Bombyx mori: one gene and its partners. The protein of the gene in region 1 binds, or shares a complex with, the protein of each later gene. Links are inferred from orthologs where the notes say so. Each region holds a gene or a part of one and is shown in the gene's direction. Other genes may lie near its edges. The genes, in order: dynein regulatory complex subunit 4, dynein regulatory complex protein 8, dynein regulatory complex subunit 7 and dynein regulatory complex subunit 3.

Evidence for each region.
Region 2: dynein regulatory complex subunit 4 (region 1) and dynein regulatory complex protein 8 share a complex: the UniProt entries of both Homo sapiens proteins name them as parts of the nexin-dynein regulatory complex. The link is inferred for Bombyx mori from reciprocal best matches to the Homo sapiens genes DRC4 and DRC8.
Region 3: dynein regulatory complex subunit 4 (region 1) and dynein regulatory complex subunit 7 share a complex: the UniProt entries of both Homo sapiens proteins name them as parts of the nexin-dynein regulatory complex. The link is inferred for Bombyx mori from reciprocal best matches to the Homo sapiens genes DRC4 and DRC7.
Region 4: dynein regulatory complex subunit 4 (region 1) and dynein regulatory complex subunit 3 share a complex: the UniProt entries of both Homo sapiens proteins name them as parts of the nexin-dynein regulatory complex. The link is inferred for Bombyx mori from reciprocal best matches to the Homo sapiens genes DRC4 and DRC3.

The regions. Positions count from the first base shown.
Region 1 is NC_085113.1:2,415,677-2,424,143, reverse strand, and holds the start of dynein regulatory complex subunit 4, read left to right. Parts: upstream 1-3,541; 5' UTR 3,542-3,702; coding exon 3,703-3,705; intron 3,706-4,048; coding exon 4,049-4,088; intron 4,089-4,208; coding exon 4,209-4,901; intron 4,902-5,145; coding exon 5,146-5,333; intron 5,334-7,095; coding exon 7,096-7,326; intron 7,327-7,676; coding exon 7,677-7,819; intron 7,820-8,100; coding exon 8,101-8,185; 3' UTR 8,186-8,467. Other genes in the region: uncharacterized protein LOC101744974, read right to left, coding at 297-470, 2,181-2,423. UniProt on the Homo sapiens protein: Component of the nexin-dynein regulatory complex (N-DRC), a key regulator of ciliary/flagellar motility which maintains the alignment and integrity of the distal axoneme and regulates microtubule sliding in motile axonemes.
Region 2 is NC_085130.1:5,993,659-6,002,006, forward strand, and holds the start of dynein regulatory complex protein 8, read left to right. Parts: upstream 1-2,628; 5' UTR 2,629-2,761; coding exon 2,762-2,786; intron 2,787-3,035; coding exon 3,036-3,149; intron 3,150-3,654; coding exon 3,655-3,778; intron 3,779-4,229; coding exon 4,230-4,356; intron 4,357-5,173; exon of another isoform or gene 5,174-5,412; coding exon 5,413-5,496; intron 5,497-7,496; exon of another isoform or gene 7,497-7,840; intron 7,841-8,348. Other genes in the region: heterogeneous nuclear ribonucleoprotein U-like protein 1, read right to left, coding at 1,794-1,923. UniProt on the Homo sapiens protein: Component of the nexin-dynein regulatory complex (N-DRC), a key regulator of ciliary/flagellar motility which maintains the alignment and integrity of the distal axoneme and regulates microtubule sliding in motile axonemes.
Region 3 is NC_085131.1:3,588,348-3,596,236, reverse strand, and holds part of dynein regulatory complex subunit 7, read left to right. Parts: coding exon 1-151; intron 152-1,333; coding exon 1,334-1,519; intron 1,520-2,402; coding exon 2,403-2,613; intron 2,614-3,522; coding exon 3,523-3,670; intron 3,671-5,243; coding exon 5,244-5,353; intron 5,354-5,677; coding exon 5,678-5,825; intron 5,826-6,544; coding exon 6,545-6,818; intron 6,819-7,211; coding exon 7,212-7,433; intron 7,434-7,813; coding exon 7,814-7,889. UniProt on the Homo sapiens protein: Component of the nexin-dynein regulatory complex (N-DRC) a key regulator of ciliary/flagellar motility which maintains the alignment and integrity of the distal axoneme and regulates microtubule sliding in motile axonemes.
Region 4 is NC_085117.1:10,144,774-10,151,771, reverse strand, and holds the end of dynein regulatory complex subunit 3, read left to right. Parts: intron 1-283; coding exon 284-493; intron 494-791; coding exon 792-932; intron 933-1,339; coding exon 1,340-1,541; intron 1,542-1,908; coding exon 1,909-2,094; intron 2,095-2,752; coding exon 2,753-2,892; intron 2,893-4,761; coding exon 4,762-4,906; 3' UTR 4,907-5,005; downstream 5,006-6,998. Other genes in the region: enoyl-CoA delta isomerase 1, mitochondrial, read right to left, coding at 6,173-6,430. UniProt on the Homo sapiens protein: Component of the nexin-dynein regulatory complex (N-DRC) a key regulator of ciliary/flagellar motility which maintains the alignment and integrity of the distal axoneme and regulates microtubule sliding in motile axonemes.

The DNA.
Region 1 (8,467 bases):
TAAAATATTTTTTATTTATTTATCTACCCATCTAAGTAGGGTGGACAGCTGACATGGTGTTAAGTGGTTACTGGAGCCCATAGACATCTACAACGTAAATGCACCACCCACCTTGAGATATAAGTTCTAAGATCTCAGTATAGCTGCAACGGCTGCCCCACCCTTCAAACCGAAACGCATTACTGCCTCACGCCAGAAATAGGCAGGGCGGTGGTACCTACCCGTGCGGACTCACAAGACGCCCTACCACCAGTACCTCGTTCTCATAACTACTTTTAATTCAAATTGAACATTACTAAGCGTGATACTGAATCGAGGGGATATTTTCGTGAGGTCATTAAAGGCGCCGATACCCTCCGCAGTCGCCATTTCTCTAGAAACTCGTTTGTCTGACGTATGGCCTCTTTGCTCTCATTCAGTAACTCATCTATACGATCTTTGGCTCGATACTTTTTGTACTTGTTTAAGAACTGAAACGTAACAAGGAAAATATTAAGGTACACACACACACACAACCTAAAATATATTCCTGAGTAAAAATTCGTCAATCTATATTACTTTATGTTAGTCTATTTCGAGGGGTGAAGGACTATGTGGTTCAAGCGACATTTCGCTTGACACGTGACATTTATCTATGTTATCAAAGGTCCGTTTTATTTAGTACTAGCGACCCGCCCTCGCTTCGCTTCGGAAACTTTAAATGTTATTATTGGTAGCCGAGTCCCGCGATGTTACCCGCGGTTATTGTCGTGCCGCGGGTGACGCCGCATGTTAAAGCTAGTCTAAAAAAAGGAGCCTAAGTTACTCCATATATCATCAGCTACCTATTAGTGAAAGTCTCATCAAAACCGGTCCAGCCGTTTCAGAGATTAGCGGGAACAAACAGACAAAAATTGTAAAAAATGTTATTTTAGTGTATGCACCGTATAAATATTTATATGCATGTAGTAAAAAGCGGTTATTTCAATAATACAAACAGACATTCTAATTTTATTTATATGCATAGATTAGGATCAATAATTCAATGTTTTTAATCTAACAAATCGAATTGGATTCAAATAGCTGAAAGAAGCATTTTTCATGGTATTTTTTCCAACTTTTAAACTTTAAATGGCTCTCCGGTAAATATTCAAAAATGTCGCTTAAACCGAATAGCCTTTCACCTCTCGATTTTTTTATTGTATCATAAATAAGGGCTATACGTTAATGATAACGTTTCTTTGTCAACAACAGGTAGAGATACAGTTGATCAGAATTCACACATTGATCAGTAATTCACAGATTTTTCTGGTTAATTATTGTGTGGTATTAACTAGGAATGGAACTACCACGTTTCTTCTCGGGGTGCCGTAAAAAGATACTAATGCTTTCCCCTGTGAATGCTCAGCTGCATTCTCAGAGTATCACTCCGACATACCGCGATGGCCGACGGGTATTTTCTGGTCTTTTAGCGTATTGTAAGCCTCTAAGACTTATCCCGACAGGTTGACAATACGACCTGACTTTATAATATTATATTGCTCGATATACTCCTAAACAACACTAACTTTAATCTGAACTGTATGGCCGTTGGTTTTAAGGTGCCAATTACGACAATACTTTGTCGTGGCCGCTGGAAACTACATACCCGACCCTGTAGACCGAATGGTAAACCGTCGACGTCGCCCAAAGCACGTCATTACGGATCCTCCTGATCCATTAACGGTGCTTTTAGGCACCACAAGCACCGGTCACCGTCCCCGTCTAACCCGTCGCTTGCGACGAAGGGCTCGACGAACGAATTCACCCATAGACAGCCCACTGAGTTTCTCACCGGATCTTCTCAGTGGGTCGCGTTTCCGATCCGGTGGTAGATTCTGCGAAGCACTGCTCTTGCTAGGGTCAGTGTTAGCAACTCTCCGGTTGAGCCCCGTGAGCTCACCTACACACGCTAGGGTAAGCTGACATAGCCTCTCAAGGCTATCAGCATAGGTAGGGGAAAAAAAAGACATACCGCGATGGCCGACGGGTATTTTCGGGTCTTTTAGCGTATTGTAAGCCTCTGAGGACTTATTCTTACAGGTTTTCAATACGACCTGAATTTACATTAATATATTGCTCGATATACTTCTAAACAACACTAACTTTAATTTGAACTGTATGGCCGTTGGTTTTAAGATGCCAAATTCGACAATACTCACGGCAATAGTCAATGACAAAACCAGTATTTCGATGAATATGACCGGAATGCTAATCGGATTCTCCTTGCCAACCAATTGCGTTTTTTTCGCCTCCTCTCGCAATGTTTTCTTCACGAAACAAGCTATCTTGCAGAATATCGTTTGGAACATATCAACGAAACCATTGCCTAACAAATAATCGACCAGGAATAAACTTAAAAAGACGAAAGTGTACATCAAAGTGCTCAACGTTTGTACCAGCATTTTGATTTGGCGAACGGAAAATTTTAAAATTTTGTTACTTTCACATACTATAGCGTGCGGCACGTCGAATTTGTCAGTGTAAAAGTGGTGTAAAATGAAATTAAGTCAAATCATGACATCTTTGACAGGTGTCAACGTGATTGCTTATTTTGAAATGTAAATAGAACACGGCTTGCCTTTTCACGCCGATTTTTTTTTTGTGGCTTGGGTTTGTGAACGAACTCAAGACCTACCTGGTGTTAAGTGGATGTCACCCCTTCAAAATGGAAAGCATTACTGTTTCACGGCAGATATAGGCAAGCTCTTTACAAAACGCCCGATATACTTGATTATGATAATAGCTTTTAATTTTTGTCTCTTGTTCTTTCTAAACACTGAAGCGATTAGACCCATTTTCAATGGCAGATAACTCAGGGATAGGATTCTGTGCAAAAAAACCTACAAAATCTTTAACAAATCGAATTGAAAATTAAGTATTAGTGCTATCACACAGAGTCGCATACAAGCGCTATAAGTAAGAAAAACCAATGCTGAGTTTGCTTGTTTAAACTTGATTCAGAGTTAGACAGTGACCTGGCTGTGCTCTGGGCATTAGTAATGTCCATGGGTGATAGTAACCACTCGCCTTCAACTGGGCCGTTATTCGACTAAATCAGATAAAACATTTACTTTAAACTTTTTAACGTGACAACGTCTTATAAATTCGATGGAGCCGGCTGCACGCACGAAAAAACATGACTCATTGAGGCGTTCCATTTAAGGCTTGAAGTGCAAGCGAGAGCGCGCAACGAGCGACAAAGAGGCAAAATCGGCTTCCGCGTTCAACAGCGTTCGACATCTGTCTCTCTCCTACTTGAGTGAGCGATGCGCCCGCGTGGACAGCTGCTATACAATAATACATTTTCATGTTTTCGTCAAGTATGAAGTTCAGTGAAAAGTGACTGTTGTGTCAATTGTCCATACAAAATATCTATCAAACAAAATAAAATTAAAATTTTCTTTTGAAAAATGAAACCATTCCATCAGTTTTTTCTTATGACGTTGTCACGTTCAACTGACCGACTTTACAGACAACCGATTTTATATTTAGCTTATAACACGTTAACTAATGATATAGTATATATATAGCCCGTATTGTAATAGAAAAATATTGTCGTAGAAACCGTTGCTATGACAACTGCTTTGTTTAATCACAATCCATGACAACGATGTGTCTTCCTTATTTGTTGTCAAATTCAGTTTAACTATCACACTACTTAAATATTAATAAATAAACAAAATGGTAAGTTGATTCTTTATTTAAATAGTCTGGATCCCTTCAAAACTGTGGCATAGTCTTTATTTACTTTTTGGAATCAAATCCTGGGTTAGATCTGGGTAGTGACCATTTCGGGTTTGACCGGCCATAAGTAGGGAAGGGCCACCAGATAAGCTGCTACTCTTTGTTTTTTATAAGAAATAATACCGGTGTTAAAATGACTACCACACCCGCTGATTGCAAAATGAATTTATATATAAATTGACTTTATTAGCTAGTGAGTATGCTCCATTATTAACTTCACCTACATTATGTTCTGAGGAAGCATTCTAATGAGTATTTAACAATGTTTTATAATATTTTTCAGCCGCCCAAAGGAGGAAAAGGCGGTGCTAAGAAGGCGGCAGGTAAAACTTAATTGTCTAATAAGTTTAAATGCAATATGACATTAGCCCTACTGTAATGTATTCATTATTAATACTCCGACTCATTTAAATTTAAAACTTAAAATATATGTATTGTTTCAGCCATCGTTATTGATGGAGTCGACACTTCTGAAATGACAAGAGAGAAACTAGAACAATTCACTCTTAGAGTGAAAGAAGAATTAGACAAAGAAAGGGAAGAACGCAACTACTTTCAGTTAGAAAGAGACAAGATCCGAACATTCTGGGAAATTACTAGACAACAACTAGAAGAAGCTAAAGCTGAACTTCGTAACCGAGAGAGAGCTACAGAAGAAGCACAAGAAGAAAATGAAGCGCTTCTTGAAACGGAGAAACAGAAGATAAAACATCTAAAGTACGAACAGCAAGCTGCTGCAGCCGCTTTGAGGGCGGAAAATCTCGTGGCTTTAAAAGCTGCTAAAGAAGAACACGCTGAACAAGAACTCGAGCTTTTGAATGACAAAAGAGCACTAAGACAAGAAATGAGAGAGAAAGCACTAGCTGCTCAAGACGAACTGCGGAGAGCTAAATTAATGCATGCCGAAGACCTCTCTAAGACGAGGGCAGAATTTGAAGAAAAAGCAAGACAAATAGAAGAAAAAGCTGAAAAGAAGCTTCAAGAAACTAAGGTAGAGTTGACAGTTAAACATCGAACCGAAATAGCTGAAGTTGAAGAGAGAAAGAATAAACAGCTGTCTGAATTGATAGCCCATCACGAAAGAGCTTTTGCCGACTTAAAGAACTACTACAACGATATCACTTTGAACAATTTGGGTAAGAGCTTAAATTTTACGATTTTATTATCTTTTAGCGCAGTTTCAAAATGTAACTTCAATAATATATACTTCAATATTTTTAAAAGAATTGTAATTGTTAACGATACTATCGTTTGCTAAAAGTTTTCCAGGAAAAGATTCCTCTTTGATTATGAAAAAAAAATCTTAAAAATATTGTGATATAAATTTGCAGACCCAAAATAAATATCCAATTTTAATGTTAAATTGCTCTTTATCTAAAGGCTTAATCAGTAGCCTCAAGCAACAGATGGAAGATATGCAGAAAGTTAAAGAACGCGCCGAGAAGATCGCGAGAGATGCAGTAGCAGAAGCGAAAGGTCTTCGAGAGCCTTTAGAAGCAGCCATCATCGACAACAAGGAACTGAAACGGCAAATGTCAAACTATGATAGGGACAAAGCTGCTTTAGCTGTGAGTATTAGTAGCCTAGTGTTAAGCTAGTGTTAAGTGGTTACCGGAGCCCACGGAATAGATAAATAAGGTTGGAATGGTAATGTAGGCGGGGCAAGCGTGCCACTGTTATGATCGAACAAACATAACTCGACCGATTCTTTCATTCACCGCGTTTAGTGCGCTTCGGAATATTTGGGCGAACAGATCTCCGCTTTATAGTGCCGTGTTGTGCAATTATAACTTGTAAAACAAAAAATCAGACCTCAAGTATAGAGCGAGGAGGTATATCTTTCGATCGGTAAGTCGAAATTACCATTTAATTACAATATTATTTGTCTAAAACATAAAAATATACTGAGCATTATGAAATTCCAAACATTAACAATATTATTGCAGCAAGTTATAAATAGCATACATTGCGCGATGTGTACTCGCCCAATGAACGCAATGACCAAGTCAGCTTCCAATGTACTACATGCATTGCGTTCTCTACACTTCAATCTTTGAAATTTCGGCCTTTGCCCTGATTGGCCGTGGTGCACGGCGCTAGTTTGTCGATAGTGAGGTGACCATGTGGTGAAATAAAATCATCGACAGAATTCTCGACTATATTTACATTTGACATGGATATTTTTTGCATTATTTTATATTTAATTAATGATACCTAGTATATTCTTAGTGAGACGTATTTTGAGTAAAATAAATATGTATTATTATTATTGAATTATTATCATTGAATTAAAGTGAAGGTATAATATAAAGGGACATGTAGACCTCTCATTTACGGGTATTTACTATATTGTCTAAGACGTATTAAAATCTAAATAAAATGCCATTTGACTTATGCAGTAAATAAAAAATTTTAGGTTTCCTAAAGAACCTAACGCCAGGGAACAATGGATTGACGTGACAGGTAGAGGAAACTGGAGACAAAGACGAGTACTATTTGCTCTAAACATTTTACTGAAAATGATTTTACCATAAAAAAAATCATAATACACTTAGTTCTGAAAAATTCATTCGCAATTAATAGCAAGCGCCAACTGCTTAACAAATACGTTTTATTCCAGCGACAGTGACTATTTGTAATTAATAAAAGTAAAATAGTTTTTTTTTTTCAATATTTATTTCATGTTTCATTTTCTCCATTCATTCATCAGATAATTTATCGATAAAGAATATCGATTTTACCAAGCACTAGCGTGTATGAACATTTTTATTGCCTTTTTGCGTGTGTGAGTGTGTATGCCTACGGGTGTTTTGTGCTAATTGCGAACGAATATCTGTCCTGAGATTTATGTGTGGGTGTTTTTGTTGTGTGCGAAATACTTGTAATCACAGTGTGTGTATGTGTAGAAATTAAAATAGTGGGGATGAAGCGGCGACACTGGTTCTAATACAAAATTAGAGCAAAGGCCTTTCCAACCTTATTTATCTATTCCGTACCGGAGCCCATAGACATCTATAAAGTAAATACCGCCACCCACCTTCATAATAAGTTCTAAGGTCTCAGTATAGTTACAAAGGCTGCCCCACCCTTCAAACCGAAACGCATTACTACTTCACGGCAGAAATAGGCGGGGTGGTGGTACCTACCCGTGCGGACTCACAAGAGGTCCTACCACCAGTAATTACGCAACTTATAATTTTGCGGGTTTCATTTTTATTACACGATGTTATTCCTTCACCGTGGAAGTCAATCGTGAACATTTACAGTTAAGTACATAATATATAATGCCGTCATCCACCTTATTAAATCAATAACTATATTAAAATACAGGCAAAAACGAAACAGCTAGCAACCCTAGAGAAACAGTTCGAAGTCTTGAAATGGGAATACGAAGTGCTACAAATACGCTTCGACAGAGTGCTAGCTGAAAGAGACGAGCTGAAGGCTAGATTTTCGAGGGCCGTACTAGAAGTACAACAGAGGGCTTCGTTGAAAACGGCCCTACTGGAAACCAAGTTGAAAAATATGGAAGCAAGAGATTTAGGACCGAGAGAATTGCATGTGAGTTAATATTTTTATTACCGATAAATGAATCCGGCTGTTTCGCCCCTCTTCCTTTTTTTTTCCTACCTACGCTGATGGTCTTGAGAGACCATTTCAGCGTAGCCTTAACAAGTAAGTGAGCTAACGGTACTCAAACCTGACGACGTTGCTAGCACTATCCCTAGCAAGAGCCGTGCTACGCAGAATCTACCACCGGATCGGAAACACGACCTTAACACTTAAAACCAGGTGGGCTGTGAGCTCGTCCACTTATGTATGCGCTAAATAAAAAAAGACTTCCTCTTAACAGTAGTAACTTTTTCATGGGTTTTACATTGTACTCACTTAGTATTAATTAATTTAAAAAGGAACTGCTCAAACTCAAAGACACCCAAGTAGAAGATCTTCGGTATGAAGCCGCACGACTTCGGAAGGCGCATGATGATCTACTCGCGACTTACGAAGCGAAACTAGTGAAATTAGGAGTGCCTCCAGAAGAACTCGGTTTCAAGTGAGTAAATTTAAATTTAGCGCCATCTATGGTGTTTAATGAAAACTAATAAATAAAGTTTATCCAAGCGACATCTAGTTTGATAAAATGAAAATATTTAAAAATTGAAACGTTTGAAAGTGTATTATCGTGATAGTAACAGATGGCGCTGTTTGCAAAATTTATGAACTGGAAATTTAATGTTATGAGAAAAAGTTTATATAGTACAAAACGTATCCACGAGATGTCACTATTACAAAACCCAAGATGTTATTTATTATAGGTATTATATTTTTTTTCAGACCATTAAAAGCCGTTGCGGTGGCCGGAGTATCGCCTGTAATAGGTCAAGGACCAGCAGGATTAGTGACGAAAGATCAATGTTAGAAATAGAAATTAAAAAAATTGTATAATATAATTGCAAAAGTTGTGCCTATCTAAATTGTTCTGAAGAGAAATTGTAAATACCAAAAAATATTTTTGTAAATCCTTTTTTCCTTTTTCGTAATAAGCTGTCACCACCATCTAAGATCATTGATAATGACATTGGCAGAGCCGGGCGACTGCGTACCATTCAAGATCAAGCTATCTGATAGATCTCACAGCGATCAGCCATTGTGCTTAGTGCAAGTTTTTTAACGTTCTCGATAGCGTAAAAGTTAACTTTGT
Region 2 (8,348 bases), on another chromosome or scaffold:
TATATACTATATACTATCCTAAATACAGTATTGTATGTTCTACAAAACTACTTTCCATAAGGGCTGTAATTGTTCAGTCGCATAATTGATGCGTTTAGCGAGAAACAAAGGGGCGCTGTTTCAACCCCATACAAAATTGAGTTGACTTTTACATGATTGAGAAGTTCAAAAACTTACACTAAGCACTCTGGCCAGTTCTAATGGTTGATTTTCTTATATTAACTCTGTTAGTGTTTTAAAGGAATTAAAATAAAAAATTACTTCTTCAATAATGTTTTTATGTTGTTGTTGAAAATGTTTTATATATTAACTAACAATTTTAAAATGTTCACAATAATCGAACATTGCATTCATTAACAATGTTCTAGGTATTACCTACTCTATTATAGTCTGATAATAAATATTAATTGTAATTGAAATACTACATGACATTTTTTGCTTTGTAAAATTTGGGAATCCTCAACAGAATGAAGCATTATTTCGCACCTGAACAAAGACTTGTTTTGCAAAGCACCGGTACAAGTCGCACTAGGGTCCTGCTCATTTCCCTGAAATATCATATACCACTTATGCATTCAATTCTCTCTGCATCCACAGTGTGATTTCAGACTTTTTTGTTTTTTTCTCTCCATAATTTTTTATTGAACTCTATAATATCTGTTGCAATACTAAGCATCCACCACAGACAAAATAAAGTTGAAACAAACTTACTTAATTTTATTATTTAATAATAAGTTTTCTGTGTTTGTAACATATTGCATGCAACCTATTTTAGATAAGGTTGACAGTAATATGACCATTGTAATCTTCATCAATTTAATGATAAACATTGCTTTTAAAACACAGATCATAAACAAAGTATGGTATTTATTTTTATTTAGTAGATTAGGTACTTAATTATTATTTTAAAAACCATCTCTGTATATTATCTTTGTTATCTATAAGACTGTGATGAATAAATTAATTTGCTACCCATGCTTTTTTCAACAATTCTGGAAAATATTAGTCTTAATATTTCATACTAATCAACATATTATCTGATAGCAAATTTAAATAAAATAACAGTAGTTAATAATTTCGTTGAAGACCTTAGAGGAAAACATTAATTAATCAAGGTTGTATCCTTAAAGTTACTTCTATACCTAAAAATACTATATCTGGACATTAGAAGCAAAAAGACGTATACATTTTGTGCAAAAAAAGCTTTTAACTGATTTGATTGAATTTCGTTTTATTTTACTTTGCAGAATCGAGCTCTTCTTACCTATTATTAAGCCTAAGAATAATCATATGAATGAATTTCCCATAAAACAGTGTATACATAAATTGATATCGATGTCGAAGTTTTCAAACCGATTACGATTTGAACTGTTCAGTTGGAATAACTGCAATAACTGATATGCGTCGTTGTATCAGTAAAAACATATAAAATACTTCGAAAACTTAATGATGCTGTACATTAATATTTAATAAATTATTAGATTTTTATGCGATTTTATCTCATGCTTGAGTGTGAATAAAGTCGTAACCTTGATTTTGGCGTCAGATATTAAAATAGGTGTGTTTGCAAATCTCTAAATGGGACAGCAAACTGATGTATGGTTACTACGGAAGTTAAAGTTACTAAGAATCACACTAAATCTCTTAAAGTGGAAACAACAGTGCAACAATGATCCATGATTGATCGACAAATGTACACGTGCAGTAATTAAAAAAGTCCCTAACAACAATTTCAGCAACATTACTAAAAAACTGTACATTACGCATTAAATAATTACATCTGAAATCCTAACCTGTTCCAGTTTTCGCTTCGAGTGCTTTTTTCAATCTTTCTACCAAAGCCGGCTTGTTTCCCTTCGTATCTAACCCGAGAGCACCCAACTCGGACCTCAAGTCCACCACCTTCATTTTAGCAGGATCCATTGTATTAATCGTCTGATAGTATCCACTTCACAACACTTTAAAGTTTTTAAAACACATGTGCTTAAATAATATTAATTCTATTACTATCTGAACGAAAATTCACGACAGAAAAAGCGCCAACTAAATCCAAAATGGCGATTTAGCGGCGCATCAGCATAACGGAAGGAAATGGCGGTATATTATCTATGGTGGGGATTGGCGATTCCAGAATTTTTTGGAATAAGCTATTTGTTGTAAAATTCAAAAGGCCAAGGGTTTCTTATCCATACTACTCAAAAGTCTGGAAGCCTGCTGTTTAATCAGTATAGATTGGATTGTTTTTACAATGAATTTATTTTCTATTTGATTTTCTATAAAAGCATATTTTTGTGTTTTTTAAAGTATATATTTTTTTTTAACTAATATTTTTTGAATGTGGTACGACAATTAAACATCAACATGTCAACAATAAGCTATTAATTTGTACATTGGTTGAATTAAGCTTTGTCAATATTGTGGAGGAGCTGTTAAAACTGGGAGCTAATCCTAAAAAAAACTAATTTATGGATAATAGGTCTAACTGTTTAAAATATTGCATTGTCAACGGTCCTTGATAAGTACCTATGTCAAATTTTGATTTCAGTCTACGTTTTGAAGGGGGTCAAAATCATGTTCAAAGCATCCGTCACATATATACATACTAACTTACAGCAGCTCTGGTGCAAAATAGAACTAAAGCTTCGTCGATGACACTAGTGATAACTGATAGGTTGTGTTGCCTGGTTACGGAATATTTTTTTCAATTTAATACGTGTACTTATTAGTGTTACAAATCTTATAATTAAACTATTAGTTCATTATGGCAAGAAAAGAGGAACCTAAAAGTTAGTTATTATTTGAAAGATTTACTTTATATACATTTAATAATTTATAAACGAGCGATGTAAATACTGTGTAATTTAGTATCACTCATTAAATTTTATTATAAATGAATACATACATAAATACATTTATTAGTTGAAATTTAAACAAAACCAAACATTTTTATTGGTAAATAGATATTACGTCTGGTATAATATCTGATATATGTCATATATTGGTATATCTCATATACCTTAAATGTATCTTTCTAGTTCAACCAAACAATGATTTGGAGAAAAAAATAATTGAAGCTTTCGAAGTATTTGACCATTCTGGGAAGCAAGTCGTAGATGTAAGGGAAATAGGAACAATTCTTCGATCTTTGGGTAATGCTTTTTTTTCTGGTTTTCGTTAAATGTTTTAATACTTTACTAGTGTAATAAAGAGTATTTAAAAAATTCTGACTCTCACGGTAAATTAAAAGACACGAGTCACCACGAGTAGCCGATGGCGCTTGGAACAGTGCCGAAGTATCGCGAAATCATACTAAATATCGTAAGAATACAATAGCCGTGTTTACAACGTAATTACGCATGAAAAAAGTCATCATTTTGCTTTCCGTGCTCCAATTTTTCACCCTTTTAGGATAATAGATATCTCAATTTTAGTATGACAGTGATTATTCACGTCTTCGAGTCGCTACAAATTATTTAGGAGGAATAGTCGGAATGAAGGTGCTCTCCTCTCCGAGCCGGTCTGTGTGAACGGACCCTTAGGCCGTTTTTTGTTTTGGAAACTTCTAAGCGGATAACTGTTTGAGTACTAAATAGACTGTTTACATGGTAAATTTTGAATATAGCAAAAGAGACGTTAAATATATGTTTTTTAAAGGTTGCTGTCCAACTGAAGCCGAGATACAAGAGGTGATTTTAGCAACGGAAAACAAAGAAGCAACTGGAAACGTTCCGTTAACGAACTTTTTACCTTACATGTGTAAAGTCATGATAGAACATAGGTTTGTAATATTAAAATTAAAAAGGTTAAACAATTTTAAAATTTTGACAGTGTGGCTCAATCTTCGTTGTTATTTTTCATATCTTCTTTTTAATATAATACTGGCAGACCCGGCCACACGTTGCTGTGGCTAAGGTTTTTGTTTCTAATTAAAACGCGGCCGACTATGCTAATATCAAAAATTGACAAAGAACAATTGGATTTCACTGTATTGCGTTTACTACGAAATAAATTACCTACACTTATACTTTAGCCTAAGCATCATGTGGTGCTTATGCCATTAAATTGTAGCTTATGGAAACGTTGGAATTTTTGACAAAGCCAATTACGCCATTGATCACCGAGATAAGTAGATTTTGATGTTAGCTTTCTACCTTTCGTACGTGAATTTTTTAATTTAATTTTCCATAAAATGTTCATTATGTCAGGTATTTTATTTATTAATGGGACAGGTTTTATCCGGCGAGCGCTGAAATGCTGTTGGCTGCATTCAGATATTTTGACACGGAGGGACGTGGGTACCTCACTAAAGAGAGGTTCGCCAAGCTTATGATGGAAGAAGGAGAGTCATTTACGCAGGTACCTTAAAATTTCTTATTATTATCTATATCTATATATATAAAAATGAATTGTTGTTAATCAGTCTCGCTAAAACTCGAGAACGGCTGAACCGATTTGGCTAATTTTGGTCTTGAATTATTTGTGGAAGTCGAGCGAAGATTTAAAAGATAGATAGATATGAAAATGCACGGAATTTAATAAAAATAACAATTTTGTTTTTCCTTTGATGTGTCCCCTGTCGGTCTTTTATTTATCGATTGGGGTACTACGAAGTCTGCCGGGTCAGCTAGTTTTAAATAAAACAATTCGTTTTCCGGCTGCCTTCACTTTATGTCGTATAATATATTGTTACGCCGGTAAGAGTAACGCCATCTATCGCTGAACAGCCGAAACGAATACCAAATGATAGCAACATCTAGAACGCTCGAAAAGTACAACGCCATCTATTGTCAGGTAGCGGAAGCACGCATTGAAAGTGCTCGACTTGTGAGGAATGTTCTCGACGATTCTAGGGATGTCGTATCGACTTTATAAGCGTTGCAGAGATGCTGTCGACGTCACCCAAAACACGTCATTACGGATCCTCCCGATCCATTAACGGTGCTTTTAGGTACCACAAGCACCGGTCACAGTCCTCGCCGAACTAAGTTTCTCGCCGAATCTTCTCAGTGGGTCGCGTTCCCGATCCGGTGGTAGATTCTGCGAAGCGCTGCTCTTGCTAGGGCCAGTGTTAGCAACACTCAGGCTTGGGCCCCGTGAACCTTCATGTTAGGGCGAAACTGAAATAGTCTCTCGTGTTTGTGAAGTGTTTTAAGTGTTCTAAGAGATAACACAGTTTCAATTCGTACTTCGATAGAATTTTTATTTATACCGAATCGTATTATAATATAACATTATTTTTTATAATTAATAATCCTAACACTATACAACAATAATCCATAACATTAGTTATTATAAAATAATACCGTGTTATATGTTATGCTAACAAATACTATACTGTTGTATATGGATATGAATTGACTCGGTTAAATTTCAACGAGTATTCTTATGGCTCTCATTTTTTTCATGATACAGGAGGAGTACGATGAAATGATGCAAACAGCGTTAGATCCTGTAACAGATACAATAATGTACGAATATTACATCAACCAACTTATGGTGAGCGCATTCTATTTTGTTGTTTTGTTTATATTTTAGTTTATCTTATAAAGTTTAAGATTTATAATATTCTATGTATCTATTTTAATTTGTTGATTTTATATATAACTAGCTTTTACCTGCGACTCCGTCCACGTGGAATAGTTACTTTGGCATAACGCTAAATTTTACCCCCACTTCATTTACGTAGAAAGTGAAAATATTTTTGAATTATAGAATGTTATGGAGCTATTTAAACCCCTATTTTGAAACATTCTTTATTGGTGCTCCACTTGTATTGGTCTTACCGTGATGTTATATAGCCTATAGCCTTCCTGTAGGATTCAAATGGGTTATCTAACACTGAAATAATTTTTTAAATCGGACCAGTAGTTCTTGAGATTAGCGCGTTCAAACAAACAAACTCTTCAGCTTTATAATATTAGTATAGATATGGATTTATTTTATATTATCTGCTGGTATAATATGCACAGTTAGTATATTGCTGGGGTGGCCAACTTGATTAGAATCAAGATCAACTGTTTACTGTCGAAGCACTACATAAGCACTACGATCTACCAATGACATTTCTTGAAATTTATGAAACAATGCAGTTCAGTATACAAATAAGTAGTATATTTTCTTTTATTGAAAAGATTAACATAAAGTTGAAATTATACAATAAAAGAGAACTATTGCGTGGAAGAGAGAATAAATAATGTGAGGTAATTGTCATTTACAAAAAATGTATCTTTCAATGATACAATTATCATTTAATGATACAAGATGAAGATGATGCGTGCAGCAATTGGTGATTACGTTGCGCAGTCTGTTCTATGTATTTATATTTTTTTGTCTTGCCACGATCGATGTAAATGGAAAAATTTGATTCGAGCCCTACACCCCAGCAGAGGGTAATAGGAAAGAATGATGAAGAAGATGATAATGACGATCGACTGAATTAATAGCCAAGATCGACCGGTCGATTGCGATCTTTTTTTTATTACCCTTGTAGGGAGACGAGCATACGGCCCACCTGATGGTGAGTGGTTGTCGTTGCCCATGGACTTCAGAAATGTCAGGGGCAGAGTCAACCCGCCGCCTACCGCTACCGGTTAGCCATCCCTGGTATATTGTATAGTATAATAGAAAAGCATCTGTTTTCGTTTTAATTAATGCACCTGTAGTAGGTGTAGTAGGTTTTCTATATCATCCTTGGTCGATTAGTAGAAAATGTTTTGGGCACTAAGTTTGCCAATGTAATGTGCATGAATAAAATAAGGTTTGTTTAGTTTTTGTAAACAGATTCTATCTTAATGACTGCAGTGTATTTATCAAAAGCGTCATTGCACTATATTGTGATTCGAGTAATGTTTTATTCTACAGAATTGAATTGCAAAGCTCTGCTTCAATGAACACTAACATATAGATTTTAGTGATAAACGCGAGTTATCGTAGCGCCCGACGAATTGTGATTTCGCTAAATATAGCATAGCTCATAGCTTGTGGTGGACAGTCGTCCTTTGTTTAGCAAGTATAACAGAGATCAGTGGGTAATGAAGCAGTATAAGTAAGATACAGAACATAGTATTAATTTGTTGAGCACGATTTTATATAATTTTTATATTCTTAATTAATAGATGTCTGAACAAACTCACGGCCTACCTGTTATAACGCAGCTGATGTGTGCTTAATTTGCGAGTTCTTTAACGTTCTCGATAGCGTAAAAGTTAACTCAAATTTGTATGGAGTTTGAACGTTTGCTTACGTTTGCCTCTAGGGACGCTGTTCCAACTACATACAAATTTGAGTTAACTTTTACGCCATCGAGAACGTAAGAAAACTCGCACTAAGCACATTGAAATACATAGACGTCACTTTTTGAATACCGCCACACAGCCTTGAGACATGAAAGTCTAATTTAATATTTCGGTTCATTAATTTGTAACCGTTCTCTTACACTTCAAATATGAACGAATTACTGCTTCGCAGCAGATATTATGTAGGATGGTGGTACCTACCCGCGTCGACTCAGAAGACGCCTTACCACCAGTAACTAAACAAACAGCTATTTATCGTGATAAACTCGCAATCACAAGGAACAATGAACAATGATGTTATAGTAAAAAGAGGTAGATACGTTATATTAGTACTAATACGAAGTCAAGCTTGTCCGCGGCGTATGTACCTATATATATTTATAAACATAAACACACTAAACAATACGATATTATGCGGACGAATTAAATCGACAATAGTTGATGATAATATCATATAGCCGCGTGAGCAGAATTAACTTGACAAGGTTGTAATGTGTGAAAAAGATAGCATGCTAACTATCAAGACCGTAAACAAGACGGATATATATTACGCAGTGTCGTTGCGATGTCACGACTTACTTCATAGATTAACAATTAAAATGACACAGAACGAACATAAAATTGTTTGATGCCTACGGTTTAGTAAGCAGAATTGATATATTTAAAATGAACTCCTGACTATTCTTTTAAGAAATAAAACAGCAAAGGACAAATAATTTTATTTTTTTATTTTCAATTAGTTCATTATTATTTGGCCGCCAATCCTCTTCATGTCTTTGTCTACGTACAATATTTATCCATTGGTTACACCTTAATTCATTTGCCGGAAACCTTTAAAAATAAAATCAAATTTGTTAATTCATTTCTCGGTTGTTGTGAGCTAATGTGTAGGCAATATCATGGAAATGTCCTTTCTGTTACATTACTCTTTTTAATCTTGACAGACATCTCTCTTACACTCTGTGACCGGAGTATATGCCGTCGCACTCGAGCCTTTTTTAATAAATTTAAGTTAATATTTTGGATTTCTTAAACAATATAAAAGCAAATCAA
Region 3 (7,889 bases), on another chromosome or scaffold:
AATTCCACCACCTGACGAAGAGCCCAGATATCGCCTGGTGCCCCTACCGGATCTCACTTCTAAGTACTGCCGTGATATGGACAAGAAAGCCGATGATAAGAAACAAGCTGAACTGAACAAGACCGAGAAAGAGCGACTTCGTAAAATTGCTGTTAGCATCTTTATGCATATTTAATTTAAGGTCTCTTCAGAATCCACATAAAAATTTATAGAATAATTAAACAGATATGTACTTAACTGTGCTTACATCATTTTTAGTTGGAGTATAATCAGTATAATAATAATGTCCTATGTTATTTATAACATAAGATACCTGTTTTATAAGAAGTAATTATCTAGTACTAGCTGACCCGGCAGACTTCGTAGTGCCTCAATCGATAAATAAAAGACCTAAACTTTTGTATACAATAAACTTAAAACAAACAAAAGGAATCCGTCCGACGGGGGACGCATCAAAAGAAAAACAAAGTCGTTATTTTTATATAATTCCGAGAATTTTCATATTTATCTACCTTTTAAACCTTCTCTGGACTACCACAAATAATTCAAGACCAAAATTAGCCAAATCGAGTTCTCGAGTTTTAGCGAGACTAACGAACAGTAATTCATTTTTATATATATAGATGTATATGTATATAAATGTAGATTGGAGTATTTACTTAATCAAGTGTTCAGCCAAGCGGTCGAAATTCGTCCAGTAGCATCCACACCGCAATACTTAGAATCAATTTGTGTATTACTTTTTTTTGTTATTGTCATATAGTTCGACGTCGCTCTTGGCTCATAGCACCAGCGCATTAAGGGATGGGACAGTTACGAATGAGATTTAGACCTCATGGTCATCAAGCTGGATAGAAGCGTACAAGTTGTAGCGTTTGTCGGTGTAATTTGTTGGCGTTGGATGCTAAAGTTGTCGTAGCCTAAAGGATAAGACGCCCGGTGCATTCGTATCTAGCGATGCACCGGTGTTCGAATCCCGCAGGCGGGTACCAATTTTTCTAATAAAATACGTACTTAACAAATGTTCCACGATTGACTTCCACGTTGAAGGAATAGCATCGTATAATCAAAAAATCAAACCCGAAAAATTATAATTTGCCTATTTAGCGGTGGTAGGACCTGAGAGTCCGCATGGGTAGGTACCACCGCCCTGCCTATTTCTGCCGTGAAGCAGTAACGCGTTTCGGTTTGAAGGGTGGGGCAGCCGTTGTAACTTGCATTTACGTTGTAGATATCTATGGGCTCCAGTAACCAATTAACAACCAGGGGGAGCCTGTGGTCGTCCATCCATCAAAGCAATAAAATAATAATAATAATAATCGTTGGTTTTCAGGATTTGGAAAAAGCCCCGGCTGACGCTATTAACGGGTGGAGAACTCACGCCTGGGTCCTCGTGCTGCCGGGATACATGGGAATCGACGAACCTTTCTTCATAGAGCCGAGCGAAGGCGAAGGTCATCTCCTCGACTCAGAAAAATACCAATTCATAGACAGCGTGTACAATCACGAAAACTACTATGTGAGTTTCAACTGCAAATTTTATTGAAAACCGGCGAATTCCTGTGTCGAATTTCAACAAATTGATAGTATTTTTTAATCGGTCGATTAAAAAAGCTTTTAGGTTTAAATTAATCACGAGTACTATGTATAAATTATACGTAATGGAACATTAATTATAATAATTTTAATTATTGAGTTATTGTGTATTATATTTCTAGAACTAGGCAGTTTTAATTTTTATTAAGCCCTGGACACGCTTTTCTCTGACTCTTCTTCTTTATCTCCGCCTTATTGGGGTCGGCACAGAGAATTTTTCTATTCCATTCTCTTCTATCCACATCATTTCGGATCCTCCCGATCCACTAACGGTGCTTTTAGATACCCCAAGCATCGGTCACCGTCCTCGTCGAACCCGTCGCTTGCGACGAAGGGCTCGGCTAGTAAATTAACCCACAGACACAGCCCACTGAGTTTCTCGCCGGATCTTCTCAGTGGGTCGCGTTTCCGATCCGGTGGTAGATTCTGCGAAGCACGACTCTTGCTAGGGCTCGTGTTAGCAATATCGTCAGGTTTGAGCCCCGTGAGCTCACCTACTAGTTAAGGTTACGCTCATATGGTCTCTGTAGACCATCAGCTTAGGTATGAAAAAAAAGGCGTCATCTCAACACTCACTCCTCTCTCTCTCATCGTCATTCACACACTTCATCCCTGTCTTCTTCGTCAACCTCTTCCCCCTCTACCTTGCACTACCATTTCCATACATCTCCTAGTCACATGCATCACCTTTCTCTGACTATCGCTAAATAAATAAAATTATCAGTGAATTTGTTGGTACCACCTGTGTGGTGTTAAGAAATAAATAAAAGAGTACAACTACATACCTACCTACAACTTTTTTTAAGGCAAACGTCCAAAGCACAGACATTGGGTTGGACAGCCTGAATTATGATCTGAGCGACCTCTCAGCGTGGGAGCATCTTCTGGCCGGCGAGCCCCACCATCGGAGGCAGATGGTCGGCATTGACATCGCCGACAAGAAGACAGCTGTGCAAACAGAGAAGCATCTGGATATGCCAGTCAGCTGGGTTGAGAAACTGGAGATTAGTACTGATGGTAAAATTACGTTCGCAATTCTGAGTCGATTATTGTCTATTGTAAATCTGAAGCGAACGGGATATCCGTTACTTGGAATTTAGGGTGGTTGGCGACGTTAACTTGTAAGAGTCTTAGGCCCGGTTTGTGCTCTACGTAGCGCACTGAAGTAATTATGAGTCGACTATTATCAAAGCCAGCAATGTGACTTTTGGAAAATTATTGGTAAATCAGAAAAACGAATTATTGACTTTGTATTCCATTGGCAGTCACAAAACTCTTCTGAACGACATCTTAGATAAATAACAGCTTAAGTATTAACCTTTATTTAATGCAGTTTTTGAACCGTATTCTTTGAAGGAGACGATTATATTCAAATGAATCTGTATTGACATATCAATAAAAAAAATTTGTCCAAATGCACAGATTGCCACCTTTGATAATAGACGACTCTTATATCGATTTACTGTTGCTAACGCGACAGAATATCTAGTCGATACTGGGAAAGACGAACCCGAAGGTAATGAGAATGAATCTATGCGTAAGATACCTAAAAAACTAAAACATCGTGTATTTAAGTAGTAGGACCTCTTGTGAGTCCGCGCGGGTAGGTATTACCACCCCGACTATTTCTGCCGTGAAGCAGTAACGCGTATCGGTTTGAAGGGTGGGGCAGCCGTTGTAACTGTACTTGAGACCTTAGAACTCATATCTCAAAGTGCGTGGCGCATTAACGTTGTATATGTCCATGGGCTCCAGTAACCACTTAGCACCAGGTGGGCTCTGAGCTCGTCCACCCGTCTAAGACATAAAAAAAAGGACAATCCAAGCGCCTTAGTAACAGAAATCGACATAATTACTACTACGCCGCGTAGAGCACCGGTGACCTGCACGCTTCTCAAAGGATTAACAAAGCAATACCCTTATCAGAGTACGGTCAAAGATATCCGGGCAGCCACAAAGTGATACACTACAAGAAAGTTTTACTGGATAAGTTCTCGCCCTACTCCGAGAGGGATGGTGTAGTGAAGAGGATCAGAACGTTTGAGGACTACGCTTTGACCGTCCCGCTGATCACGTGAGTGCGTCTTCGACTTTACACAGTCCAGAAACGAGGCCTAATACGCCTCGTCACCACCGCTAAGAGAACCCTAGACTTCTCTGACGTGCGAAGGCTGTAGCTATGGAGAGGTAGAAGTAATGAGCACGCATCTTGTATAGGGAACCAGTTGAACATCTATCTATATCTAATATATAAAATTCTCGTGTCACAATGTTCGTTCCCATACTCCTCCAAAACCGCTTGACCGATTCTCGTGAAATTTTTTATGAATATTCAGTAAGCCTGAGAATCGGCTACTATCTATTTTTCATACCCCTAAGTGATTAGGGTTGTCCACCCCTAACATATTTTTTTTATTTGGACTTTTTTTTTTTATTGAGGTATTATGTGGTTGAATGAGGTTTTGTTATTTTTATTATATATTCCCTCATCGTTCACAACACTACATACCTCTTTCACTCATTTACCACATCCTTACACACTTACAATAAATTATTTTTTTTTTTTTCTACACTAGAAATTCCCTAGAAATCTTATATATTATGGCAAAACAATGTTTGCCGGGTCAGCTAGTATTATATAAAAATGAATTGCTGTTCGTTAGTCTCGCTAAAACTCGAGAACGGCCGGACCGATTTCCCTAATTTTGGTCTTGAAATATTTGTGGAAGTCCAGAGAAGGTTTAAAAGGTTGATAATTATGAAAATGCTCGGAATTATATAAAAACAAACAATTTTGTTTTTCCTTTGATATGTCCTCCGTCGAACGGATTCCTTTTGTTTGTTTTAAGTTTATTTTATACAAAAGTTTAAGTCTTTTATTTATCGATTGAGGCACTACGAAGTCTGCCGGGTCAGCTAGTCGTGTAATAAAAATCAAACTCGCAAAATTATTTGTGAGTCCGCACGGGTAGGTACCACCACCCTGGCTATTCCTGCCGTGAAGCAATAATGCGTTCCGGTTTGAAGGGTGGAGCAGCCGTTGTAAATATACGGAGACCTTAGAACTTATATCTCAAGGTGGGTGGCGGCATTTACGCTGTAGATGTCTGTAACACCTGGTGGGCTGTGAGAGTTCGTCCACCCATATAAGCAATAAAAAAAAAGTGTCCACCTGTAATCAGAAGGTTATTGTTTGAAGAATCACCGAAATAGCACCAGCGTAAGAAATGGAAATGATATGAATTTATTTAGTTTTAAACAGAGTGAACTGGGCTGGATTGAAATGAAGTGTGATAGCTTATGGCGGTGTTTTTAAAATCCTTCCACTAGCTACTGTGGCGCCCCCTTAATTGGCTCTCTTTCAGCGGACACTTTTTAATACACCAAAATGATGCTCCTTACTTCTACGCTCCATAGCTGTAAGATCAATTTGATTTAGGAAAGAGATAAACATACATCTAAGTTGTCCTATTAAAATACAATGAACGTGTTACTTACAAATATTCTACAGAGATAACGTTCTATGAAGCCGAAATTAGCCGATCGTTGCTTTCCAAATGTCGATGGGCAGCATTTATCGGCGGGCACTGTAGTTGTTTAAAATTCCAATTAAATTAAATTAATGCAGATAACGGAATGTTTTCTAGGTACGAGTGGTACAAGCATCGCGTCGACAAAATGGAAACCGTTCGAATAGATCACACGAAGCGTGAGATACGCGAGACGTTCGGTATCGGAAGGAGGGATCATTTACTCAGTAATTATTGTGTTTTTGGTTTCTTCAATACGCTTTTATTAGCTTGCTGTATTGATGGAGGAAAGCGGAATTGTCGTAACTCGAAAAAAAACAACTTTATACCAGAGCCATACGCCGGGTGGACGAGCTCACAGCCCACCTAGTGTTAAGTGGTTACAACGTAAATGCGCCACCCACCTTGGCTTGCTATCAAACGTAGGCAAACGTTCCAACTCCATACAAATTTGAGTTAACTTTTACGCTATCGAGAACGTTAAAAAACTCACCCTAAGCTCGTCTACCTACTAATCGTAAAGTTTTACTATGGAAAAAAATGTTCCACAGAGCACGTGTACTCCATGGACGCGCTGGTCGGCTCTGTGGAGGCAGTCAGGACCATGGAGTTCAATTACTACGCCCGACTTGACCACCTCACGAGGCTGGTCTGCACTACCCTTACATTCGATGAATATTATTCGAACAGAAGCGACAGGTACACTCTTAATGCTGTCCCAAATTTACGTTAGAATGCTTTTGGAGCTTGTCAGCACGATTTGAAGTCCAAGGGATATTTTGACCTCGTATTTTGAAGTAGGAAAAGTGATTGAAGTTTTGGTCTCATCGACTCCCGCAGCCACTAGATCAGACCGGCCGTTGTCTTTTCCTATCATCATTTACCTAATTATAGTATTTTTATCAGCGTTTAATTCAGCGTCAAAATTGATTTTTCAATAAGAACATTACATGAAGTCGTCGTGGCTTAACGAATAAGACCTCGGTGCATTCGTGTTGAGCGATGCACTGGTGTTCGAATCTCAGACGGGTACTAATTTTTCTAATGAAACTCAATGTACTCAACAAATGTTCACGATTGACTTCCACGATGAAGGAATAACATCGTGTAATAAAAATCAAACCCGCAAAATTATAATTTGCGTAGTTACTGGTGGTAGGACCTCTTGTGAGGCCGCGCGGGTGGGTATCACCACCCTGCCTATTTCTGCCGTGAAGCAGTAATGCGTTTCGGTTTAGAGGGTGGGGTAGCCGTGTGCATACTTGAGACCTTAGAACTTATATCCCAAGGTGGGTGGCGCATTTATGTTGTGGATGTCTATGAGCTCCGGTAATCCACTTAAATAATAAAAAATTAGACAAGTTTTAAAAGCGGTCCTTAAATCACTTTCGAATCCTTCATTCTCGGATTGTTCTCAGATTAGAATCAAGATTAGTAATATATACAGAAGGAACGAAAGAAACTAAACGTCAAATAAAGGACGTAACTGAGACGTACAGCAGAAACCATGAGATCCCATCAAAGCAAGACGTCTGGAAGAAGATCTTCCACCTCCAGGACAATACTATAGAACTGCTGTACCAATACGCGTACAATTACGTAACTAACAACACAAGGAGCTATATAAAACCTAACTTGGCTGAGACCGGCGGGAAAATCTTGTTCTATCCCGACAAAACCTCCGGGTATATCGTGAGTTGCGTTAAACAAACTTTTACGAAGAAAGAGAGAGAAAGGAAGAGAGAGAGGGGGGGAGGGGGAGGGTGGAAGAGAGAGAGAGGGGGAGGGGGAGGGTGGAAGAAAGAGAGAGGAGGAGGTAGAGGGTGAAAGAGAAAGTAAGAGAAAGAAAGAGAGAAAGAGAGAGAGAGAGAGAGAGAGAGAGGAGGAGGAAGAAGGTGGAAAAGAGAGAGAGGGAGAGAGTGTATTCTTTTTTGTACACAAAATTAATACAATAGAATCATAATAGTGTACAATCTTATAATTTCAATTAATTATAGTCGAATTTCGACTACCGGGGGACCACTAGTAGGTATTTGTAAATAATGTAATGCGATTCGCCGTGTACGCCAATTCGCGTAATTACAGGCCGACCCGAACGCTAAACAACCCCGCGACTTGGAAGTGTATTACGCCCTCTGCGAAAACATGGAATGGGAGCACGCGACCACGAAGCAGATACGCGACAGAGAGACCGACGTCAATGGATATCTGCGGCAGAGACACAAGGAGCTCACCGAACCGATGCTGGCCGTCGCGCTCTTCGATACCGAGAAGAACGAGGCCGCCAAGAAAGGCTGGAAGGAGCAGGTGAACAACTGTATCTTCTCTCCTCTTTGCGTCGATAATCCTCAGTGTTGAGGATCGTGGCCTTTTTGCTGCTTAGATGGGTGGACGAGCTCACAGCTCACCTGGTGTTAAGTGGTTACTGGAGCCCATGGACATCTACAACGTAAATGCGCCACCCACCTCGAGATATAAGTTCTAAGTCCTCGGTATAGTTACAACGGCTGCCCCACCCTTCAAACTGAAACGCATTACTGCTTCACGGCTGAAATAGGCAGGGTGGTGGTACCTACCCGTGCGGACTCACAAGAGGTCCTACCACCAGACCGTGTGTTGCTGGAATAGTTAGGCTACCAGCGATTAGCCAAGGAAAAAAGTATTACTTACTATACTGCTTTCTGTAGGAAGCAAAAAAAGCCGAAGTGACCGAACGAGAAAAGGAAGCTGAAATCGATCCGTTAGCTCCGTACCTGGCTCGGA
Region 4 (6,998 bases), on another chromosome or scaffold:
CAACTTCTCTGTCACAGGTTCCACTTTCAGACTTCCTCTAACATATTCATTCCGTATTCTATCCATTCTCGTTACTCCACACATCCATCGCAAAATTCGTATCTCTGCTGCATGCAATCGCCTGTGAAACGTAACAGAATCTTAACTTTTCAGTGTAATATTTTTATAAAAAAAAAAGAAAATAAGGGAATTGAATTTTTTTTTTATATTACTTTTAAGGAAACGCTCGTTATAAAATCACGTTGGTAGTAAATCTAGAATCTAATTCAAATCATATTGTCAGAGGTGTTCTTCGAAAATTAGATGAAGCTGACGAGAAATCGGAAAATGAAAGATTAGCCAAAGAGGACTACGAAGCTAGGGTGAAATTTTATGCGTTATCCTTCGTCGAATACTTAAGCGGGCCGGAACTTCTCGAGGCAATGTTCGAAAAGGACCCTGATGGATCTTTACTTCTGAAGATGGGCGGTGAACTGAATGGATTTTTTGAACAGTAAAATGAATGTTCAATATTTATAATTTCAAGTTTCACTTGTAAATGTAACCTATTGTTTCACTTACAGACCTGCAATTCGCGGCGATAATTTACTATATACGTCGTGCTCAAAATACCAGTTCTGAATCTTTAAATTTTGAACGATAAAATTACATTACATTACGTTATTTCTTTTATAAATTTTCGCATTCAAAATCGAACCACTGGGTTGATTTAGTTCTTAGCTAGCTGTAATAATTATTTTTCAATTTTTAACCTATTTACTTTAACAATTTCAAGCACATTTAATTTGTAGATATAAAGAACAATACGTGGAAACGATGGCGGGCTTGGTTGAATTCGCTTTAGAAGCCTATAACGCGAGACAGTATGAAATTAAACTATTCAAAGATTTAGTTAATGATGCGCTGGAAGAGAGCGTCAAGAAAAGCAAAGAGTTAGTAGGTCTTATAATATTTTTTAATTGGATAAAGAAATTTTCTGTTATAACTTACTGTGTAACACATGCCTTAATTAACGATGCCATATATTATGCACACATTAATGCCAGACATAAGAATTTAAGAATTCACTTAACATATTCTGGTAAAGCATTGGCGAAATTGGATCGAAAATCGTACATAATGAAAACAATTTTTTTTATTAATGGGCAGTCAATGTCACAGCCTTTTATGATGTGTATCATTAGGTGGGTACTTTTACATAATATAATAATTTTTTTTAAATATATGTCTCTCATACACATACATACCTATATATCACTCAAATCAAATATAAAAGTCTAGTCTAAAAAGTTGAAACTTGATTGTTTTATTTGCCGATTGAAGATTATTTATTTAATAGGATCATTATTGAATACGAAAACAAAAAGAGGCCGCTTGTAAATGAAATGCAAGAATTCATAAACAGGTTCACGACGAAGCAAGCTACCATAGAGGAGCTTGAGCCGTTGATAGTTGACCTCGGCGAGACCTTCAATGAGGTCCTCTACCACCTGTGGAAGAGTCTCATGACCATAGAGATGCAGCTCTACGAGCAGTGTGAGGTATTTAATTTTATTTAGTATCTACCTAATAAAACCTAATACTTAGTAAATTTTTATAAAAACATCCTCTTTTAAATTAATTGATTCATAAAACATAAAATTAAGATGTCATTGTTAGAATTTAATATTAAATGGTATTTATTATTCTTCTGTACAATTTTTGTGATGAAAATATTATTGGGGTATAACAGGTTAAGTTTTCTCTAGCCTTCGTATTAAGGACTGGAGACATTGTGAGTTATCACGATGTATGTGACAAAACACTTTTCAGACTAAAGACGAAAGATATATACGTACATAATAAAGATACAGTATAGTATTTGCTAAGCCTAAGTTTTTTTTAGACAGCTTTATTTTCTAATCACAGGAATCTCGCGTACAATTTTCTGTTAACATAACGGAAATGGTAACGAAACTGTTGGAGGTATCTCGTAACGCATTCGGAGCGTGGCGCGAACAAGAGGGCGTCTGGTCTATGAGACAGTTCGAGGCGCTGTCAAAGCTCCTTGGGAATAAGCTCATCTTGGGAGACGTACCCCCAGAGTTATTTGAGGTTGATTCACATTTTTACACACAGTTGAGATCTTGGTTGCACTTTTTAAATTAAATCAAGGTTCTACATCGTGAAACGTTTTCAATGCTGAAGGTGAAATGTACCTACTATGCCATAAAGTGACCCGCAATGTAATGCAAATCTAGCTGGCACGCGCCGCCCTGTTACGATAAGACCGCCAATAAATTGTGTGATAGGTTTTTTTTGTAATTGCTTAAATGGGTAGATGAGCTTAGGGTCCACCTGGTGTTAAGTGGTTACCGGAGCCCATAAACGTCTACAACGTAAATACCGCTATCCACCTTAAGACACGAGTTCTAAGGTCTCAGTTTTTACAGTACAACGGCTGGCCCGCCCTTCGAACCGAAACGCATTACTGCTTCACGCCAGAAATAGTACTCAGAAGACGTCCTACCAGTAGTAAAAAACGTTACAAATATCGATATTATTAACAATAGTGTATTAGGAATCAGGAACTCAATCAAATTATGTTTTCGTTTTTGTTACAGTTTCCAATTCATCCTTGTTTAAACTTAAGATACATTTTCTCAACTTTTTTAAACTAATTCTTCTTCCTTAAGCAATTTAATCTTGTCAATTGTTGGTGTGTTGTTCAAATTTAAGTTCTCTGTTCCTTGATAAGTTTGTCGTGTTGCAGGTGATGATGGATCGAGATTTAATGATGAATTTAGTGGCTCAATCCTCGGATAACCACATGCGTTTTATTGATGGACGCGAGGATTTGCTCATGACCCGTGCCAACAACTGGCGAGATGAACTTGTACAAGGCACTAATGAGTGAGTATCGAACGATCCTTCCTTCACTATAAAAATACAATAAAAATAATTAATACATGTACCATTTTGATAAGGTGTAAAAGGAATAATATAGTCTGGGTGCTCATAAAATAAAATACATGCTCCGTTGTCAGATTAAGGAATAAATAAGTTTATCTATTTCTAATTTTAAGTCCCTAAGTAGGTACTATATAATAAAGAAAACATTGTCAATATGTATTTTTCCCTACATAAGCGCTCGTAGCCTAAGGGACTAATTTAGCTACGCGACAGAGAGCTACTCTTATCTTATCTATGCAGACTACACTAATAATAAACAGTTAAATCAAGTCATCGCGCTTAATAAGCAAGGTCAATGACCACTGCAACTTCTTTCACCGGCGTCTTTAGTCAGTACTGAGGTTTACCACTATTATTGAGATTTAGGTTTCGACATACTGCTATTCGTAAGGCTTTGGTACTCATATATAACAGTATTCGTTTTTCGAAACAGTTTTAAGTTTTATGTATTACATTTTTATAGACAGTAATTTATGCTAAATGCTTTTGTGTCTTCTGATTAATCAAATGAAATAATGTATTTTTATTTTTGCACGGTTTTATTAATAGGTATTTACCTACGAAATTGCCGTTATGTATACAGAAAGTTTTATTGTTGTCTACCGAGGAATTTCACCCGCTCAGTGGACGGATCCATCAATCTCTTTGTCGTTTAACCCCAAACTATCAATCTAAATATATACCCAAATCGGTACATCTCTACGAGTTCCTTGGTTATCTTTCAATGCTCTTCTTGAAGAAATCTGGTGTAAAGAAGTTAGGGGGCCAATAAACTCATCAAAGGCATTTTGTACTGCATATCGGGTATTCGATTTTTAGTACAAAGTCGTTATTCAAACTTTGAAAAAGTAGAAATCTGTCGGTGCAAGGTCTGGTAAGTACGGTAGATGACACAAAACTTCCAACCCTAGCTGTTATAGTTAAGAGACCGTCCTGTTGTGTCGCATGAGGGCGAGCGTTGCCGTGAAGGAGGTTCGCAATCTCTTCGTTTCGTTGTCTTTTAAGCAACGCAAGGCATACATTGGCGTACAGGCGTTATTGCGTTGGCGATCGTTAATAAAAAAAATTATTGCTTAGATGGGTGAACGAGCTCACAGCCCACCTGGTGTTAAGTGGTTACCGGAGCCCATAGACATCCACAACGCAAATGCGCCACCCACCCTGAGACATAAGTTCTAAGATCTCAGTATAGTTACAACGGCTGCCCCACTCAATAATCCAAAACGCATTACTTGCTTCACGGCAGAAATAGGCAGGGACTCACAAGTGGTCCTACCACCAGTAATTACGCAAATTATAATTTAGCGGGTTTGAATTTTATCACACGATGTTATTGCATATCGTGAGCATTTGTTTAGTACGTATTTCAATGGTTGACTTTAGTTTTCGGGTGACCACTGGGTGTATTTTTTAAAGTAAAATTTCCATGCTTGAATCGTTCAAAACAACGAGTGGTGTGTTAGTTCGTAGTGTTTACTACGGACACGTATTAATGTTGTGAGCCATTTGTTTGTGCGGCATCGTTACCGTGACGAAAGTCGTTTACCATAATTTCTCATGTTAATATCGTATCCATATTCATGAGAAATGTACAAACATAATGTTTTCACCGATCCAATAAACAAAGGACTGAATTTCAAAATGAAATTTATTCTGGATCTGGAATTTATTGCTTACTTATACAACATTAGGTACGTTTCAAATGGCCAGTATTCTAAAACGGAAACTTCATAGGTAAATACTTATTATTTGCACAATAATTTGAATATATAGCGTTCTATTACTTACAATTACGTGGTTATGTTTCAGTAACGAAGTAAAGCGTAATCGAGATCGTATATTAGAGATAAATTACTACATAGACAATCAAAGAGAGGAGTGGACTGATATGCAGATGGGACTTACTGAAATAGTAGACCCGGAGACGGTCGCCTTACTTGGTGATGACTTTTAAAAAACTAAGGACGAGGCCTGGTGGTATTGTTGTAGATATTTGTGTGGCAAATAGCATATTAATTATTCAATATTAATAAAACATTGTTTTGTTTTTTAATAGTTTTTTTTTTATAGTTGTGTTGGTGACGATCTCACTCTCCCCACCTGTGTGCTTAGTGCGAGTTTTTTAACGTTCTCGATAGCGTAAAAGTTAGTGTATATTTGTATGGAATGGGATCGTTTGCCGCTAGGGGCGCTGTTCCAGCTGCATACAAAATTGGGTTAACTTTTACGCTATCGAGAACGTTAAAAAACTCGCACTAAGCACTGGTCTAGATTTCCAGAACCCACAGACTACAGAGCGTGAGTGTTCACCTCGAAACGTGTGGTCAAAGTCTTCCACTATATTTCATAACGGTCTCACCCTTCAAACCTACTCCTAATTACTTCGCGGCAGAAATAAACTACGGGCCCACCATATGCCCTATCCTGGTGATAAGAGTTGGGAAGTTTAAGTTGATGATCAGAATGCGGTGGTATAATTAATGCTCAGAAAACGGTGCTACTCTTCAGTACAAAACAAATATAACTAATCTAATCTAGAAAACTTTTTATTGTTAAAATAATAGGAAGAGTCTATGGTCTGACCCAATGAAGTGGTACTACACTAGTAAGATGTAGTGAGTATTAAGGGTGATCCAATGACTTAAATTTTAGACATTTATTTCTATGTAAATAAACCATTTTACAGGGTATAGAAATACAAATATATATTTTTACGATTTAACAATCTTTATTGAAAACATAAATATTACATGTAAAACAAGAACAGTACAATGTAAATCATATCAAAAATTCAAAACAGTACATATTCTAATTATTTTCATATTGTACACGGTTTTGGCACAATTTGAAGTCTACTGAGTTGTGGGATCAACGTTCCATTTCAACGTCATACAATGGTTACTTGAGGTCATTTACAAAGTCAATGCTACATTTCATGCTTGGTGTCTCTATTATTGTAGTCTTATATTCACTTTTATATCTATGACAATTATTACAACACTAATTCTAAGTACTTATTAAATCAACATCATAGATAATATATTTTAGTGGTATAAAATTGTATTTATATAAATGACTAAAATATATAATACAAAATTCCTACTATTTACAAAATTTGTTAGAATGTTCAAAAATACTCAAAAGTAAATGAACAGTATTTTAATTATAAAATTTATAATTACAACATACATGTTTTATTTACATAATTGTGATTAGGCATTTATTTAGCAGATTTCTGTTTGAGAGCTTGAATGTAAAGTTCTAACGATTGTTGTACTTTCGGGTTCTGTACAAAAGTTAAAAACTCATCAGTGTCCTGTTTACGATTCTTGATGAGCCACGTCAAAGGTTCTGCCCTGATCTTTTGCTTGGTTAAAGCACGAGCTATAGGCGAGATTTTGTCGAATTTCTTTATAAACTTCTTGCATTTATCAACCGCATCAGCCTTGTCTGTAGCTAAAACGTCGATGAGTCCCACCTTAAAAAAATTTATCATGTGCGGTACATTCACAGTTTTTGTTAAAGTAAATATACTTTTAAAATAAATTTACATGGTTTGTCAATAAGACTAAATAATTTTTTTTTTTTTTATTGCCCTTGTAGGCAGACGATCATACGGCCCACCTGATGGTGAGTGGTTACCGTCGCCCATGGACTTCAGCAATGCCAGAGGCAGAGCCAAGCCGCTGCCTACTGCTTAATACTCTTCACAAGCCTCGTTTGAAGAAGGACATGTCATAGCGCTCGGGAAACACCGTGGAGGGGAGCTCATTCCATAGCCGGATGGTACGTGGCAAAAAAGACCTCTGGAAACGCACTGTGGATGACCGCAGTGGCTCTAGGTAGTATGGATGAACTCTACTCCGGTGGCGGGCGGTGCGATGGTAAAAACGAGATGCCGGTATCATCTCGAACAATTCCTCAGAGCACTCCCCATGGAACATAAATTTATATTTAATTTAATCCTTACTAAATAATCGTATTTTTTTAAATGAGGGCATTACTTGGATGCGTTTTCCTAACAAGCCACTGAAGCAACCCTAATG